Caenorhabditis elegans: one gene and its partners. The protein of the gene in region 1 interacts with the protein of each later gene in a pairwise test. Each region holds a gene or a part of one and is shown in the gene's direction. Other genes may lie near its edges.

Evidence for each region.
Region 2: the proteins of vps-54 (region 1) and syx-5 interact in a two-hybrid assay, tested with the Caenorhabditis elegans proteins (one study listed by BioGRID).
Region 3: the proteins of vps-54 (region 1) and memb-2 interact in a two-hybrid assay, tested with the Caenorhabditis elegans proteins (one study listed by BioGRID).

The regions. Positions count from the first base shown.
Region 1 is NC_003283.11:10,573,011-10,578,828, reverse strand, and holds the start of vps-54 (Vacuolar protein sorting-associated protein 54), read left to right. Parts: upstream 1-2,409; 5' UTR 2,410-2,422; coding exon 2,423-2,622; intron 2,623-3,144; coding exon 3,145-3,384; exon of another isoform or gene 3,385-3,608; coding exon of another isoform or gene 3,609-3,653; intron 3,654-3,730; coding exon of another isoform or gene 3,731-3,895; intron 3,896-4,095; exon of another isoform or gene 4,096-4,105; coding exon of another isoform or gene 4,106-4,123; intron 4,124-4,197; coding exon of another isoform or gene 4,198-4,540; intron 4,541-4,586; coding exon of another isoform or gene 4,587-4,840; intron 4,841-4,893; coding exon of another isoform or gene 4,894-5,631; intron 5,632-5,719; coding exon of another isoform or gene 5,720-5,818. Other genes in the region: erh-1 (Enhancer of rudimentary homolog), read left to right, coding at 1-95, 141-230; mics-1 (PDZ domain-containing protein), read left to right, coding at 508-571, 620-799, 845-975, 1,026-1,303, 1,349-1,477, 1,767-1,866; del-6 (Amiloride-sensitive sodium channel), read right to left, coding at 3,609-3,653, 3,731-3,895, 4,198-4,540, 4,587-4,840, 4,894-5,631, 5,720-5,818. UniProt on the Caenorhabditis elegans protein: Acts as a component of the GARP complex that is involved in retrograde transport from early and late endosomes to the trans-Golgi network (TGN). The GARP complex facilitates tethering as well as SNARE complex assembly at the Golgi.
Region 2 is NC_003283.11:11,762,373-11,767,722, forward strand, and holds syx-5 (Putative syntaxin-5), read left to right. Parts: upstream 1-2,531; 5' UTR 2,532-2,546; coding exon 2,547-2,735; intron 2,736-2,811; coding exon 2,812-2,994; intron 2,995-3,236; coding exon 3,237-3,708; intron 3,709-3,753; coding exon 3,754-3,851; intron 3,852-4,305; coding exon 4,306-4,605; 3' UTR 4,606-4,850; downstream 4,851-5,350. Other genes in the region: T04F3.4 (EF-hand domain-containing protein), read right to left, coding at 475-529, 582-624; F55A11.1 (EF-hand domain-containing protein), read right to left, coding at 1,158-1,281, 1,394-1,654, 1,700-1,776, 1,908-2,006; sel-11 (E3 ubiquitin-protein ligase hrd-1), read left to right, coding at 4,972-5,199, 5,245-5,350. UniProt on the Caenorhabditis elegans protein: Potentially involved in docking of synaptic vesicles at presynaptic active zones.
Region 3 is NC_003283.11:5,617,626-5,621,529, reverse strand, and holds memb-2 (Golgi SNAP receptor complex member 2), read left to right. Parts: upstream 1-2,328; 5' UTR 2,329-2,333; coding exon 2,334-2,461; intron 2,462-2,507; coding exon 2,508-2,705; intron 2,706-2,755; coding exon 2,756-2,843; intron 2,844-2,897; coding exon 2,898-3,002; intron 3,003-3,049; coding exon 3,050-3,181; 3' UTR 3,182-3,209; downstream 3,210-3,904. Other genes in the region: M03E7.2 (uncharacterized protein), read right to left, coding at 3,291-3,541, 3,592-3,653, 3,764-3,819.

The DNA.
Region 1 (5,818 bases):
AGGTTCCGGCTCAAAACGAAATCACCTATGACATATCGCACCTTTTCGAGTTCATCGACGACCTCAAAGATCTTTCAATGCTGGTTCTCGACAATGTTGGTTTTTAAAACATATTTTAAATATCGGAAAAAAAATTGCAGACAACATACACATATGTCCCCCACAATAAGCAATATGTAAAGGAGAGCATCTACAAATTAATGAACAACAGGCTCAATAATCAGCACTGATTACCATCCATATGGGTTTCTCACTTCTATCTCTTTCCAACGTTCTCTTTTCTCACTTTTTACGGATTCAGTCCTAAGTTTTAAACTCTTTTCCAAAAAATGTGAAAACGAAATTTCATATCCAGTTATACAATTCATCCGCAACCACATGAATAAATATTTTTAAATGGTGTTATTTCTCTACGTTTATAATTACAGCAGTTGTTTTCTGTGTATTATTTATTTCATTTGGAATTAGTGATTTTCGAAATTTACAAAAATCTTCAAATTGTTCAGAATGATGGTGTCTCCTCCGCAAGAGGATACAGTGTTCAATACCGATTCAGATCCAGTTTATGAACGTAAGTATTAAACTATGGAAGGACTCGAGAGTTGGTAAGAATATTCAGATCATGCCGCTCTCGTTTCCTCCCCATTTCACGCTGATGAAGATCATACATTCGATATTTCATTTGCTGCAGAAGCAACGGACGACATGACATTCAATGATACGACTACAGATGGAAATGGACAAGAATCTGTTCCATTGGAGGCATTGACAGTAGTTGAAATAGAAAAAACATCTAAAGGTATAAATTGTATTTTTAAACGTCTATATAGTACTCATTTTACAGGTTTCGGATTCAATATAGTTGGTGGAACAGACAATCCTCACTTTGTTGGAGATATCGGAATATACGTCTCATCAGTTAATAGCGAGTCAAAATCATATGGAGTCGTAAGAACAGGCGATAAAATTTTGTCGGTTAGTTTCCGATTAAAGTAATTATTAATTTAAATTGTTCCAATGTTTAGTTTGACGGTATCGATATGACCTACAAGACACACGATGAAGCTGTGGAAGTATTTCGAAGTGTTAAAATCGGTCATGTGGCTAAAATGTTGATTGATCGAGAATACTTACATCTTCAAGAAGATCGAACACAAACTCCAACTGCTTCTGTTTCAATTACTCCTCAAGTCACTCCACAGACTCGTAGTACTCAGAATAATACAGACACACCAAAGTCGATGTCGCATTCGGAATCAAAAAGCCGTTTGACGTCTCATGGACTTTCGGCTGTTATAGAAAGGTAAATTTTAAAATTTTTCTGAATTTATTTCTTATTGATTTTCAGAATTCGTGGAAAAGTTTACGAAGAAGAAGATGCTCAAAGTGTTACTTCCTATGCTCCTTCCACTCATTCCATCATTGACGATGTACCGAGAACACCACGTAAACCACTTAGTCTTTTGGATCCGAGAAAGTAAGTTTTATTAATCGGAAATTAAAAAATTCGCGATTTTTATTATTAAAATCTGACTGGACAGAAAAAAAAAATTAAATATTATTATTTGGTAAATAAATTTTTTTGGTGAAATTTTGGTAAATAAATTTGTCGAGAAATGACGAGAAATTCACTTGCATCATCCCATAAGCCTAAAAATTGAAATTGTATTGAAATAAACATTTACGTGTGAATTTAAATTAAAATATTGAGTAAAAAACATTTTGGGGGGGCAGAAATCGGAAAAGTACCAAATGATAACTTTCAGCAATTCTTGGCTAACCGAAGCTTTGTATGTTTCAATCGGTCTTGGAGCATTGACTATCTCTGGATACCTTGCCTACAGATTCATCAGAGGACGCCGTTGATCTTTTTCTCCCCATTTTCTGAATTAAATACTTGTAATATTAATTGTATTACCTCTCTCTCTCTCTGCTTTCTTCTCTTTTTTCTCGGTTTGTTCAATATTCAATTCAATTTTCTCTGTTATTCATCTGTTTCACTTCGTGACAATTTTTGGTGCTAAGTATAATGCGTATTATTGCGATGTAGAATAGGAAAAAAGTAAAATTCATAGATAACAATCCCACAGGTATAAAATAGAACTCCCAGCTTCTCGGTCAAAAAAGTTAATATTCAAATGTTCTTTACATTTTATCGACGTTTTAGTGCGAGTGGTGGGAATATTTTAGCCTTTTTTCTCTCTGAATCTTTCTCATTCTTCTCGCTCCATTATTTCGCACTAAGTGCTGCTCAAGTACCATTTCTATTCCGATTCTCTTTTTTTGTGAGCCATAATAATGAATATTGAACGTTTGTAATTTTATTTTTCTCCGATTTCAACACTGTCTCTTGCAGATTATTATATTTACTATCAAAATTTTTAGTTTTTTACTAATTCTTATTTCCAGAAATGATTCACAAATGAAATCAATGGATGACCGAACAGTAGGTCTTATATCTGCAAGTTCATCAAGAGCTTCACTCAAAATTCAACCGGAGATTGGTTATCCAAGAATATGTGATTATTGTCAGCCAATTATCGAGCTTATGACGGCTTCCGAGTTTGCACGACATATTCGACAAGATCATACGACAAAAGAAGGTGGTAGCTTTCTTTGTAGGTATGTTTTAAAAAATTTTGAAAAATAAAAATTCTAAATATAATTTTAAATCACAGTCAAGGGTGTCATCGAACATTTTTCGTTAACTATATTTTTTCAAGAGAATCGAAAAATCGAAAAAATAAATTTTTTCGATTTTCTGGAAAATAAAAAAAAACCATAAAATTACTTTTTTAAAAATCACATTTTGTTTATATTGATGAAAAAAAGAAACAATTGTGTTTTTTTTATTTAAAATTAAAAATCGAAAATGAAAAAAAAGTATTTTTGCTCAAGAAACTCAAAATCGAAACATATAAAATAAAAACTTTCAGAAAACTAACCATAAAATTCAATTTTTTAAATTTAAATTTGAAAAATAAACAAATTTCTTCTAAAAATAAGAAAAAAAACCAAAATTTGAAAAATTGAAAACCGAAATTTTTCGATTGTTCAAAAATCAATAACAAGATTTTTTGTTAATTTTGAAGAACGGTTTTATATTTTCTGCAATTTATCGTTTGAAATATTCTAATTATTTAGATACGGAGAACATGGAGTATGTCAGAAACTACCACTGGAAGGAGTATGTGATCTTGATTTTGAAGCCCACATTCGTCGTTGTCACACTTCTTCTCAACCAGCTGGATATTCAAGTCCAACATCTTCATTGGTAGCAAGTTATACTGAAGATAGTGAAGAAACAGCTAGTTTGAGAAGTATACGATTGACAAGTGATCGAGATACTCCAACAATTGAAAAGAAAAAATTCACTCTTCACAGGTGAGTTCGTTTTATTTCGTTTTCGAATATATTTCAAGAGAGAGAATCATGTAGATCACAGGAATAGGTTATTATTGGGAATGGGGGAACAAAAGGAAAAAAAAAGTGAGGGAAAAAGAGAAAAAGAAGATGATTAACAACCTGAGAGGAACAACTAATTTAAAATTATGAAATTAAGAACCAGTAATTGAAGTTTGATCGATCTAACAATATAGTCAACGTTTTTAAGCTCGTGGATTAGAACTGTATCCTTGTGCATTGCCTCCATCCTGAAAAATTATCAAATTTAAGATAATTTTAGTATAGTAAAATAGAGGTGAAAAGTGACTCATGTGACAGTGCTTGCCTTATCAAGAGATGCTTGACGTGAATTTGGCTTAGAGCCCATCTTCTTCGGTTGTTCCGGTGATCCGGCTGGGAAAAATTCGGCGAACGGATTCTCTGCCAATGACATCTTCTTTCTCTCAGTTCCGTTGTCAATTGTGAAGTCACCATCCTCGTCTCCCTCGTCCTGTGCATTTATTAGAGTGGAAACGTGTTTGAAAAGTTTTTTGAAGTGGAAAAGATTTGTGTAGGAAAAGTGTTCAAAAATAAGAAAGTAATGTGTTCTCGTGAATTTCAATGCACAGATGCAGTGTCTTTCGAGTGAATGAAAATAATTGAAAGAAATGAGAAGAATAAATCTCATAATTATTGAAAATACAAACTCACTATTTTTGCATTATTTCTTATTAACAGTCTAAAATGGGTTTCATTTAATATATAATAGTTCACTAAATATTTAGTTCCATATCAATCATTTCATTGACCTACCTTTTTATCAAAAGTATTTCCCTTCTTGAGAATTCTCTCATTAACAATCTTCTTTGTGAAGTAGGTGTAAGAATATGTTACGAGTTGGATAAGTGACAAAATCGAAAGTCCAAGCCACATTCCAATGGATCCTCCCAATGCAGCGATAAACGAGGTGGCACTATATTTCCATTGTTGTTCCATAGTCAGATATTCGAATGGACCCCAGGAAAGTTCAACAAGTGTTAAATCAGGACGAAGCATACGTCCTTTTACAGAGTGATCAACCTCGAATCTAATTTGACGGCAATCGGGGAAACATTTGTTGGCGCATTCTGTGTCAGAGTAGTTACCCTTTTGAACACTGAAAAATGGTACTTGAAATCTGAAAATATGTGTCTGGAACTTACTCGACAGTACATTGTGTATAGTCACACAATGGGAAGATTTCCATGTCTTCTTTTTTCGCTAGGTAACTTAATGAAAGTGGAGTACAATGACAAGCATCACGGATCATCTCCATACGGCAACGAGATCGGCAATTGAACTCACTGTCTTCTCCGTCTTCTACATCACGGCATCTTGTACCTTGTTCGTCATTTTCTAACATTTGATAGAGTGCAGTGACATGAGCTGTTACCTCGTGACGCTGTCCCAAACAAACCTGAATAATTGCTTTTGCATACACCGAACCATTATTTTTGTTTCTGGTTTTACCTCATCAACGTATCCATCTCTAGATCTACCCTTTCCTTCCATGAATCTGTTCAATGATGATGGTCTTCCATGGAAATCTACGGACATACAGTCAATTTTTTGACCTTCAGTATTCTCAGCGTTATGAGAAAGAAGCATGTCAAAGAACACTCCCTGGTCGTCAATAGTCTTAAAATTGTCTTGATCGAATTCTGGCTGGAAGCAGATTTGCATCTGGGAAATCCAAGAAATGCGAAGTTTCGTTTTGATCACAGTTTCATCATCATCAAACGTGCGTCTTCTGAATCTTTGCATTGAACGGCGAAGAACTTCAATTCCAGTCTTTTGAGTGAACTCATCGAATGTGATTCCACGAGAGTCGAGAATATCTCTCCATTTCTTGAACGTTTTTCTCTTTGCCGCAAGTCTTGGAGCGTTTTTAAACACGTGAATGGAACGTGCTGATCCATGAGCAGTTGTCTCTCTTTCCAAACTACTATATGTAGCAATCATGTCGTATGCTTCCATTACAAGTCGATAATCCCATGGAGTCTTCATAAATGCGTCGTGATCAGTCATATTTGCAAGATTTTCATCAACAACTGCATCCCACTCATCCGCGGGCGCAGTAAGATTCAATTTGAAATGGGACCAGGCTTGTTGTCGAGACATGCAGAAAGTAACATTTGGCATTGTCATTGATTCATTGAAAACGATGTTGATGTCCGATTCTTTTGGATAGTCAAAGTATTCCTCGAACTGTAAATTCGTCGTTTGAAATTAGGAACTACAATTTTAATTGAACAGAAGGGAAATACTAATGTGATAATGAGAGGTAATTACTTACCAGGTCGAATACATCTTTGACGGTGAGAACAGCCAGAAAAGCGACAATAAATACGAAGGCATACTTTCTAGCACGTCTTCCGAACAGCGCATCCTTCCA
Region 2 (5,350 bases), 1.2 Mb from region 1:
AAACTAACTATAACTTCTAACTGTAAGGGAAAAATGTAAATATTAACATTTTTAAAGTAGAATTTTAAATAGTTGTCAATATTAGGAATGTCCAAAACGCTACCTATTTCTCAGCCGTGAAACTTTTTGACACCACCGGATGTGCGCCTTTAAAGAGTACAGTAACTTTTGTTGTTGTAGCGCTTTTTTTAATAGATTTTTGCTCAAATGCTTTAGTTAATTTTTTCAAAATAAAAAAATCAATTAAATCATATAAATTTTGAAAAATAGTGTACCAACAATGAAAGATCGATGAAATTAAAAAATTACAGTCCTCATTAGAGGCACACATCCGCTTGTATTTGACAAGAAGTGTCGTGTCGAGACCGAGTTATGTGCTTTTAGCGCGAAAATTGCTAAATTTCGCATATGGCATATAATTGCATCTACATTTACTTTAACCAAACTAATTTTCATACGTACACTTGCACTTACTCTTCATCGTGTACTTCTTTTTCTTCAGCAAACTTTGCTCCTTGAGCTTCTAGCACTAAAATTTAATAATTTATAAACATTAGAAAGTTATAAACAGATTTGCATACCTAATAGAAGGAATACAGTTGAGATGAATAAAAATCCACGCATTATAGAGTGGGAATATGTATAAAATCAATAGAAATAGACAGAAAACTCTTTTTCTCAAGACTGCCAAATGTCAATATTTTATTATCAGTCTCCCCCTGCTTCGCCTTTTAGTTCCAACGCAAAATTTGGTAGTGCAAAAGCAAAAGCAAACATGAATTTTATTGTTACAGGTGCTAAATACAAATTTTCATTTGTTTTTATTCGATCTCAACTAACTATAAGATAAACCAATAAATTATGCTTTTTACAAATGGGTTTCGAAAAATCATCACAACTTGAGAAATGATGGGGAAAATGCAAAATTGGAAAAATAACTAAAGTTGTAGGACTGGGAAATGGGGAGGGTGTCTGACTATTATGTACCAGTTAAAGTGTTAAAAGTGACGAGGATAGTATGATAAAATGATTTGTTACAGCAGTCGATATAACCCATCAAAAGACGTAGAATGTTAATAAAACATTGAAAACTTTGGAAACGAGGAATTGGAAATTATGGCTATTAATTAGATCGTTGTCCTAATCAGAATTCTCGATTATTGTGTGCCACCAGCTTTCTGCATTTGTTCCTGGTGAGATCTTGCTTGATCTTCTCGAAGCTTTTGTGCTTTGAGGAACTCTCCGTAGTCGATGAAGCCATCAGCATTGAAATCGTCGTCCCTGAAAATATTCAGTAAAGTATTTTTTTAAGACTTTGAATATTTTAGTGCTTTCTTATGCTAATTGCTAGCAGTAGTCTCTAGAAAATAAATTAATTAAATATATATCTCACTTTAAAATACTATCAATCATCGTCTCCAATTCAACTTCACTTGGGAGTGGTGGTGGCTGATGATTGGCATTGGCATTATTTTGTGTATGCTGTGGTCCTGGATTCTCGGCATGGAAATGCGTTATTGCCTTAATCAACTCGACTCCATCCAGTTTCCCATTTTTATCTAAATCGTGCATATTGAAATAATGGAATTGAAGTTGTTCTGGCGTCATGTTAGCAGTTGGGTCCACTTTTCCGTCCAAATGTTCTTTTATGTGGCTGAAATGTTTTAAATTAATTTTGAAAATTGTTATTAAAACTTACTGTTCATCTCTGGCCTGTTCTCCACCAAACTGCTGTTGCCCAGGCTGAGCATGTTGAGCTTGTTCCGCTTGGCCACCCTGATTTATTCAATACAATTTACAAAATTAAAGAAGCTTTAAAATAATAAAAATCACTGTATCCAGATTGTTTTTCAGTTCAATTTCTAGCGAAAATAATTTTCTTATTATTCTTTACAAACATTGTTTACCTGTTGTGGTTGCTGTTGATTAGAACCAGGAAACTGCTGTGGTTGGTGGGCAAAGGAACCAAGAATGAGGCAAGATACCACCAAAATGTTGGCTGCCATTCCTGTAATATTATAATCACTAAAATATAGACAAAACTAAGTAAGAATACAGAAAACGGAATCAAAAACGGAAGCGTGAAGTGGAAGCTGTTATTTTATTTGTGTCGATTTACGGGGAGATACGGTAATCGGGAGGCAACGTGTTCCAAATCTTACGGTAATCGCTGAAATTTCTTAAAACAATAAATCGAAACGAAAAGTTATGTGTATTTTTTTAATAAAATTAACTTGACTGAGCATTTTGGTTGAGAAATATAAAACTTAAACTGAAAATTAAACAAAAAAAAAAGAAAAACTAGTGCATTGAGGAGCGTGTTTGTTGCGCATAAAATACGCAACGCCACGCACAACCTCCGACCACACATTGATTTTCTTCTCCACGAAGTCGAGCCGGTTTAGTGGACTGTTGCGACAATGCAGCGAAATATTTGTTATTTGTTTTTCTTTTGAAATAATATTTTTACCGTGACATTTGAATATATTAATCTTTTCGACGCTTTCAGTCATTTAAACAATATTTTTCAGTTTGTTCGATGTCGGATGTCGGACTTTCACAACATTAGATCTCGTCGACGAATACCAGAAGCCAGTTCTTACTCAACAGTCGATTTTGATTACGATCCAGATCAGAAGAATCACACTTCAGCAGTTGCTCCGACTAGTTTCGCGTATAGCTCTCTCACAACCGTTTTCAACGCGTCAGCTTCACAACTTTGGAATTCTGCGCAGGTTTGTCTATCGGAACGAAGAAAGATGGCTATCTGTATATTTCTGGTTTTTATTTTTTCATGCATATATCTTTCAGGAGGCGCTTGTATCCTCCTACGACACAGCGGAAGGCACTGAAAGCATAGACGCAGATCGATCAAAGGTAGTAGAAACACTTGAATCGCTGAGTATTTTTGGAAATCCACTTGATCATATCATTATCACAATGCCATCAAGAGATCGAACTTCGGAATTCCGGGCGACAGCCAAATCATACGAAGTGAGTTTTTTCATTAAACTTCTAAAAATAAGCTTTTATTTCGAAACATTTACTTTTAAAACGTGTTATTCGGGTTTCACATCAACATTTGGACGAGACGAATATATCGATTTTTGCGAAACTCGAAATACACTTCGAACAGAAAAAAGAAACACGAATCACCTGTTAATATTTTTAAAAACATTCTAGGCGATAATATTTTTATTATTTATATAAAATTCGGGTAACATATAATTTTTCAGATGAAAGCAGCCGCAAATGGAATTAGACCTCAACCAAAGCATGAGATGCTATCTGAATCCGTGCAGTTCAATCAACTCGCAAAGCGAATCGGAAAAGAATTGAGTCAAACGTGTGCAAAAATGGAAAAACTTGCCGAATATGCTAAGAAAAAGAGCTGCTATGAAGAACGATCTCAAATTGACCATCTTTCATCAATTGTCAAGTCTGACATTACGGGTTTGAACAAACAGATCGGACAACTTCAAGAATTTTCAAAAAGACGTGCAGGAAACATGAAAAATCAAAATAGTGGACATATACAATTAGTTGTAGTTGGATTGCAGTCAAAATTAGCGAATGTCGGAAAAGATTATCAAAGCGTACTGGAAATTAGTACAGAAACAATGAAGGCTGAAAAAAATCGCCGAGATAAATTCTCGAGTGGTGCAGCAGTTCCAATGGGACTTCCTTCCTCCTCTTCCGGAGCTAATGGTATTTTATTTTCCTCGCTCATTCAATAAAAATCTGAAATTTTAGTTCGTTCAAAGCTTCTTCAAGATGATGAGCAGCATGGCTCCTCAAGCATAGCTCTGGATATGGGTGCTCTGTCAAACATGCAATCACAACAGACTATGGTAAGTTTTCAATTTGAAAAATATGAAATTTTTTTTGAAAAACTATCAATATTAAATTTCCAATGCTCCGTGTTTAGGAGAAGTACAGTGAAACTTTTTTTAAAAATTAATATTTTTTGCCAATAAAGCAAGTTTTATCGAAACTAATTTAGAACAGCAAAGAATACATTTGAAAAATTGCGATGTTACAAAAAATTTGTAAGATTTCTATGATTTTAGTTAGGAAATGTTAATATTTTCTTTGGAATTCGTTTTTTTCTTTAAAAATTTAAAAATTATATTTCTAATAGTATTAACCAAAAATTATGACTTGATAGAATATTGTAGACATTTTTGAGCGTTTATTGAAAACATAAAAATCGTGAAAACTGTAAATTGCTCAAAAATCAAACAAAAAAATAGATAGAATATAGTTAGTTTTTTTAAACACTTTCCAAGAAACAAATATTTTCAGCAACAAAGAGATTCATCATTGGAATATGCGCAAGCCCGTAGCAACACCATGGCGACAATTGAAGGATCCATCTCCGAACTTGGCCAAATTTTCTCTCAACTGGCTTCACTCGTCAGTGAGCAAGGAGAGATGATAACAAGAATCGATTCAAATGTTGAAGATACAGCTCTTAATATTGATATGGCACATTCAGAGCTTGTGAGATATCTTCAAAATATTAGCAAAAATCGATGGTTAATGATTCAAGTTTTTGGAGTTCTCATGGTTTTCTTTGTTGTATTTGTTCTTTTCCTCACCTAAACATTTCCATTTTTCATTGGTTCTTTTTTTTTCCGTGATTGCTGACTTGTTTGAATGTGTCTATTGTAAAAAAAGTGGAAAAGTAAATTCAAATTGCTTCTCCTATCACCTATAATCATTATTTTCCTCTACTATTATTTCCATGAATTAGCTTTTACTTCTCTGTCTTGACCCGGAAATTGATGGTAGAACTCCGCCTGTGATTAAAATCTTCTCTATTTTTAGCATAAAGCTTTTTAAATTTTAATCAAAACTATTCATATTATTTCTTATATTCATGGTATTTTGAACCAACTCTTACTTCTTATTATTATTATTATTGTAATTTTTTGGTTCATAATTATTTTCAGATCCCTCGGAATTCAGATGAGGGTATCAGCTGGACTAATGATTGGTGGCTCGTGTGTGGCGACTGCGGCCACCATACTCAACGCGTTCCTGATCAACAAACAGTTCTATCCATCAATCGTATATCTCTCAAAAAGCAATGCAAGTATGGCAGTGATATATGTTCAAGGAATTGTTCTTGTATATCTCATGTTCCAATTGCTCAAGTCTATTTTATTCGGAGATTTGAGAGCTGCAGAGGCTGAGGTAATTTTCAATATTAAATCAGTACTGAACATAAATAAATTTCAGCATCTGTCAGAACGTACATGGCATGCAGTTCTGGAAACATGTCTCGCATTCACTGTATTCCGTGATGATTTCTCAGCAATATTCGTTATGCAATTTATTGGTCTTC
Region 3 (3,904 bases), 5.0 Mb from region 1:
AATTGACCCGTAGAGGTGCAAGACTAATAGAGACTGCAAGACTATTAGAGGCTGCAAGACTAATTTTCGAAGATCCAATAGCTTTATAAAATTGGCCATTTATCGTAAAAAATTTGACTCGAAACAGTCTAAATCATGCAAAATACATACTTTTCTATTGTTTTATCAATTATTTTAACACTTTAAAATTTAATTTAGCTATAAAATGGCGAAATTGTTGAAGTTTTCACAAAATACTGCTGGTCTGCCTAGAATAGGGGTGCAAGACTAATACCGTATGCTCTCTATTAGTCTTGCATGCAATTCCAATAGAGGCTGCAAGACTAATAGAGGAAATACGGTAAATTAGTTTGCTTATGATTTTAGGTGCTAAAAATCTGATAAATTCTGGTTTTCTCTGTATTTACAGCTTGAAATTTGTAGCGACTACTGTAGCTGAGGTTGTGGCAAGACCCACACAAAAACAGCGCGTGCCTTTGAAGTGAAGTGACAATTTTTAACAGAAGTACAATATAATTTTTCTTGTAACAAATTCAAGTGCAAATAGATTGCGGGGAGCCTTTTTGCACAATAGGGATACAAGATTTTTAAAATTTAGTAAAAAAGTCGATTATTCTTATTTTTCAAAAAAACTTATACATATATTTCGAAAACAAAACGTTCAAAAAAAATTCTAACATTTCAATTGTCACTTTTAATGAGAAGTTTTGCAAAACTTGATAGTTATAGTTAGAAGCTAAATTCGTGGCGAGACCCTTTCATTATCAGACGAACAGCTAGTGCCTTCGAAGTGACGTTTCACATTTTCACAGAAGTTAATAGAAATTCCAAAAATTTCTTTAAAACGTCAATTTTATTTTCAATTTTGGTAAATATTTAACAATTTTCAGAACTCCAACTTTCATATTATATTTCAAGTCTAGAAAACCTGACTAAAAATTTCAGAGATCACTTTAAAATTATTTTTTAATAACTAATTTTAATTTTCAAAAAAAAAAACCGTAATTTTGAGCTATGGAAACTAGGTTCAATACACATTTGGAAAAACGACAAAGCCAATAATTTTACAAAGCAGAAAAAAATTATGAAACATCAGACAAAAAATGTCGCCTACACTTCCTACCTGGCACTTTCAAAGTCATTCTTTTGAAAATTGCTTGCAATTTCAATACATTCTAAGAACGCGAACACTTTTTTTTCTACTTTTCTGCGCGAAGATCTTAACTTATTTATTTATATAAAAATAAAATGGAATATCTCATACGTCAGAGACAAAACTAAAAAAACACTTTTTTTCTTTTTTCACCAAAAATGAGGCACACTTGGAAACTCGGAAAAAATGACGGAAAGCTCACCGAAAAGCTTCCCGTCCTTCTCTCAATCTCATTCTTGCTCTCTTTTTTGTGCTCTTTTTTCGTCCATTGAGCCAGATCATTGCTACGCACCCGGACCATAAAATGCTCATTATAAACCCTCCTCTCAACTTTTATCGGGTCACGTCTCGTGGGGATTTCGGGTGTTGATAGCTGGTTGTAAACATGTTTCTCGACGGGAAATTTGTGAGTTGGATTTTTGATTCTTAAATATTGGAAATGTGGGATTTTATATTAAAAAAGGAGGTTTCAAAAAATAATAGGAATTATATTCAAGGGTAATGAAATTTTCAATAAAAGTTTCCCAAATATTTAGATAATAGTGATTTTCTCACCCAGACGCAAAATTTTACGAATTTAGGTCGAATAATTCGGTTCCCGGTCTCGAAACGACTAATTTTTGTTATATTCGGGAAGGTGTGTGCCTTTAAAGGGTACTGTAACTTCAAAATTTCGATGCAGATGAATACTCCTTGAATTCTCATATTCTTCATTCAAATTTGTTATGCCATGTCCAGAACGCGGAAAAAATCCGCACATTTTCATTTTTATATTTTAATTTTTCAACTTGAAATCTCTAAAAATCAGAAACTACCGTACTTTTTGGTTTCTGCCGTCTCTCACTCTCTAACAAATGTTCGATAGAGCGCAATTGCACTAGATTTTTTCGAGGCAATTTTTTTTCAAATTTTATCTTTCAGCGAAATCATTTTTCAACGTTTCAATTTAATAATTTTCTTTCAAATTAAAAGAAATGATTATTAAAATTATTTTAAAAACTACGATTCCGTTCCACGTCATAAAAAACGTAAGCTGACGTCACATAGGCATGCCATTGAGAAATCGTGGATTTTATTTTCTAATTTCGTATTTTCTGAATATTCACTGGCATTTCTTGTTTTTAATTTTAAAAGTGAGTACTTTCACTTTGAAGAATTTTATTTTTATATTTTAGAGTCGATGGATACACAACTCAAGGCCACTAGGGAAGAAATCGACAATGTTCAGCTACTTTTGATTGCGATTGAACGTCAAACGGGAAATCACGAAGTGGATCGATTAATTCAGGATGCAAATAGTAGTCTTATGTAAAACTGATAATTTTATTTAATTCCAACAAGAATCTTTTTTTAGGAAAACTGAAACACACATGTTTCGACTGGAATCACAACTGGGCAGAGAACCGGCTCCAGTTAGACAGAAAGCTTCGTTCAAAATGGATCAATTGAAAAGTGATGTGTGTCTTATCAAAAATTCATTGAGAACAATGACAAATCGTCACACTAATCGAAAGAAGCAAGCAGAAGAAAAGAAAGCACTTCTGAAACAGAGGTTGGTAATTAAAATAAATAATCTATAGTTTTTTTAATAACTCTTTCCAGGTTTACAACAAATCAAGAAACGCGTGTGAATCTGGAATTTGACGAAGAGCTCAACTTGAATGATAAACTGAAATACTCGGATAATATGGTAAATTTTTGTGAAATCGATAAATGTAAATTAATATTAAATATTAAATTTCAGATCGATCAAATGCTAGCCCAAGGTGCAAGCGTCTTTGAGGATCTTCAAAAACAGAAGTACAACTTGCTGAGCATTCGAAAACGATTCCATTTTCTGACCAAATCCGTAAGTATATCTGGTTTCGCTCAATAAATTAGATGAAAATCTTTCAGCTGGGAATATCTGATACCACAATTCGACTCATCGAAAAGCGTGTGCGAGAAGACAAGAAACTCTTTATGATCGGTGTAATTTGTTGCCTGATATTCATGTTCTGCTTCTATTATTGGTGGCAATACTGTTAAACAATGTAAATAAATTAAATGGAATTTTATTATACAAGGAGAAGAAAGACGAACATGTGATATGAGATTCTTCGACAGATAAATAAAGAGATTCAACATTTTTCAGAGGTTACTTCTTCTTACCCATGAATGGGAAGGACATTGATGATCCCATACCGCCCATCGATCCCATTCCATATGGTGACATGCCTCCTCCGTATGGGCTCATTCCTCCCATTCCACCCATTGGTCCCATCATTCCATATGGGCTCATTCCACCCATTCCACCCATTCCATACGGGCTCATTCCGGGTGGAGGCATCGGTGGTGGCATTCCTCCGTACATTCCATTCATGCCGCCCATGCCCATTCCCATGGAACCTGAAATTCCAAAATATTGCAGTGTGAATTGTTTTTAAAGAATATCTCACCTAGCCCGAGGCTTGACAGAAGTGGATCATTGAGTGACGAGGAGTACGATGCTGGAAGAGCACTGAAAACTGTATTTTCTAGGTTCAGGGGAAAGGTGTTTCGATTTCTCGAATTTAACCAAATTTTCTGAGATAAAAACATTTAAAAGCAATATTTCAAACAGAATCTTACCTTGAAATCGCGATTAAGCTTGAGAATACAAGAGAAAAAACACTGGATAATTGCATTTTATTTTTGAAAATGACGAGACGAGAATGTAGACTTGGATCAGGCAGCAATTGACTGCACAACACCAGTTTGTCGGTCTTTTTA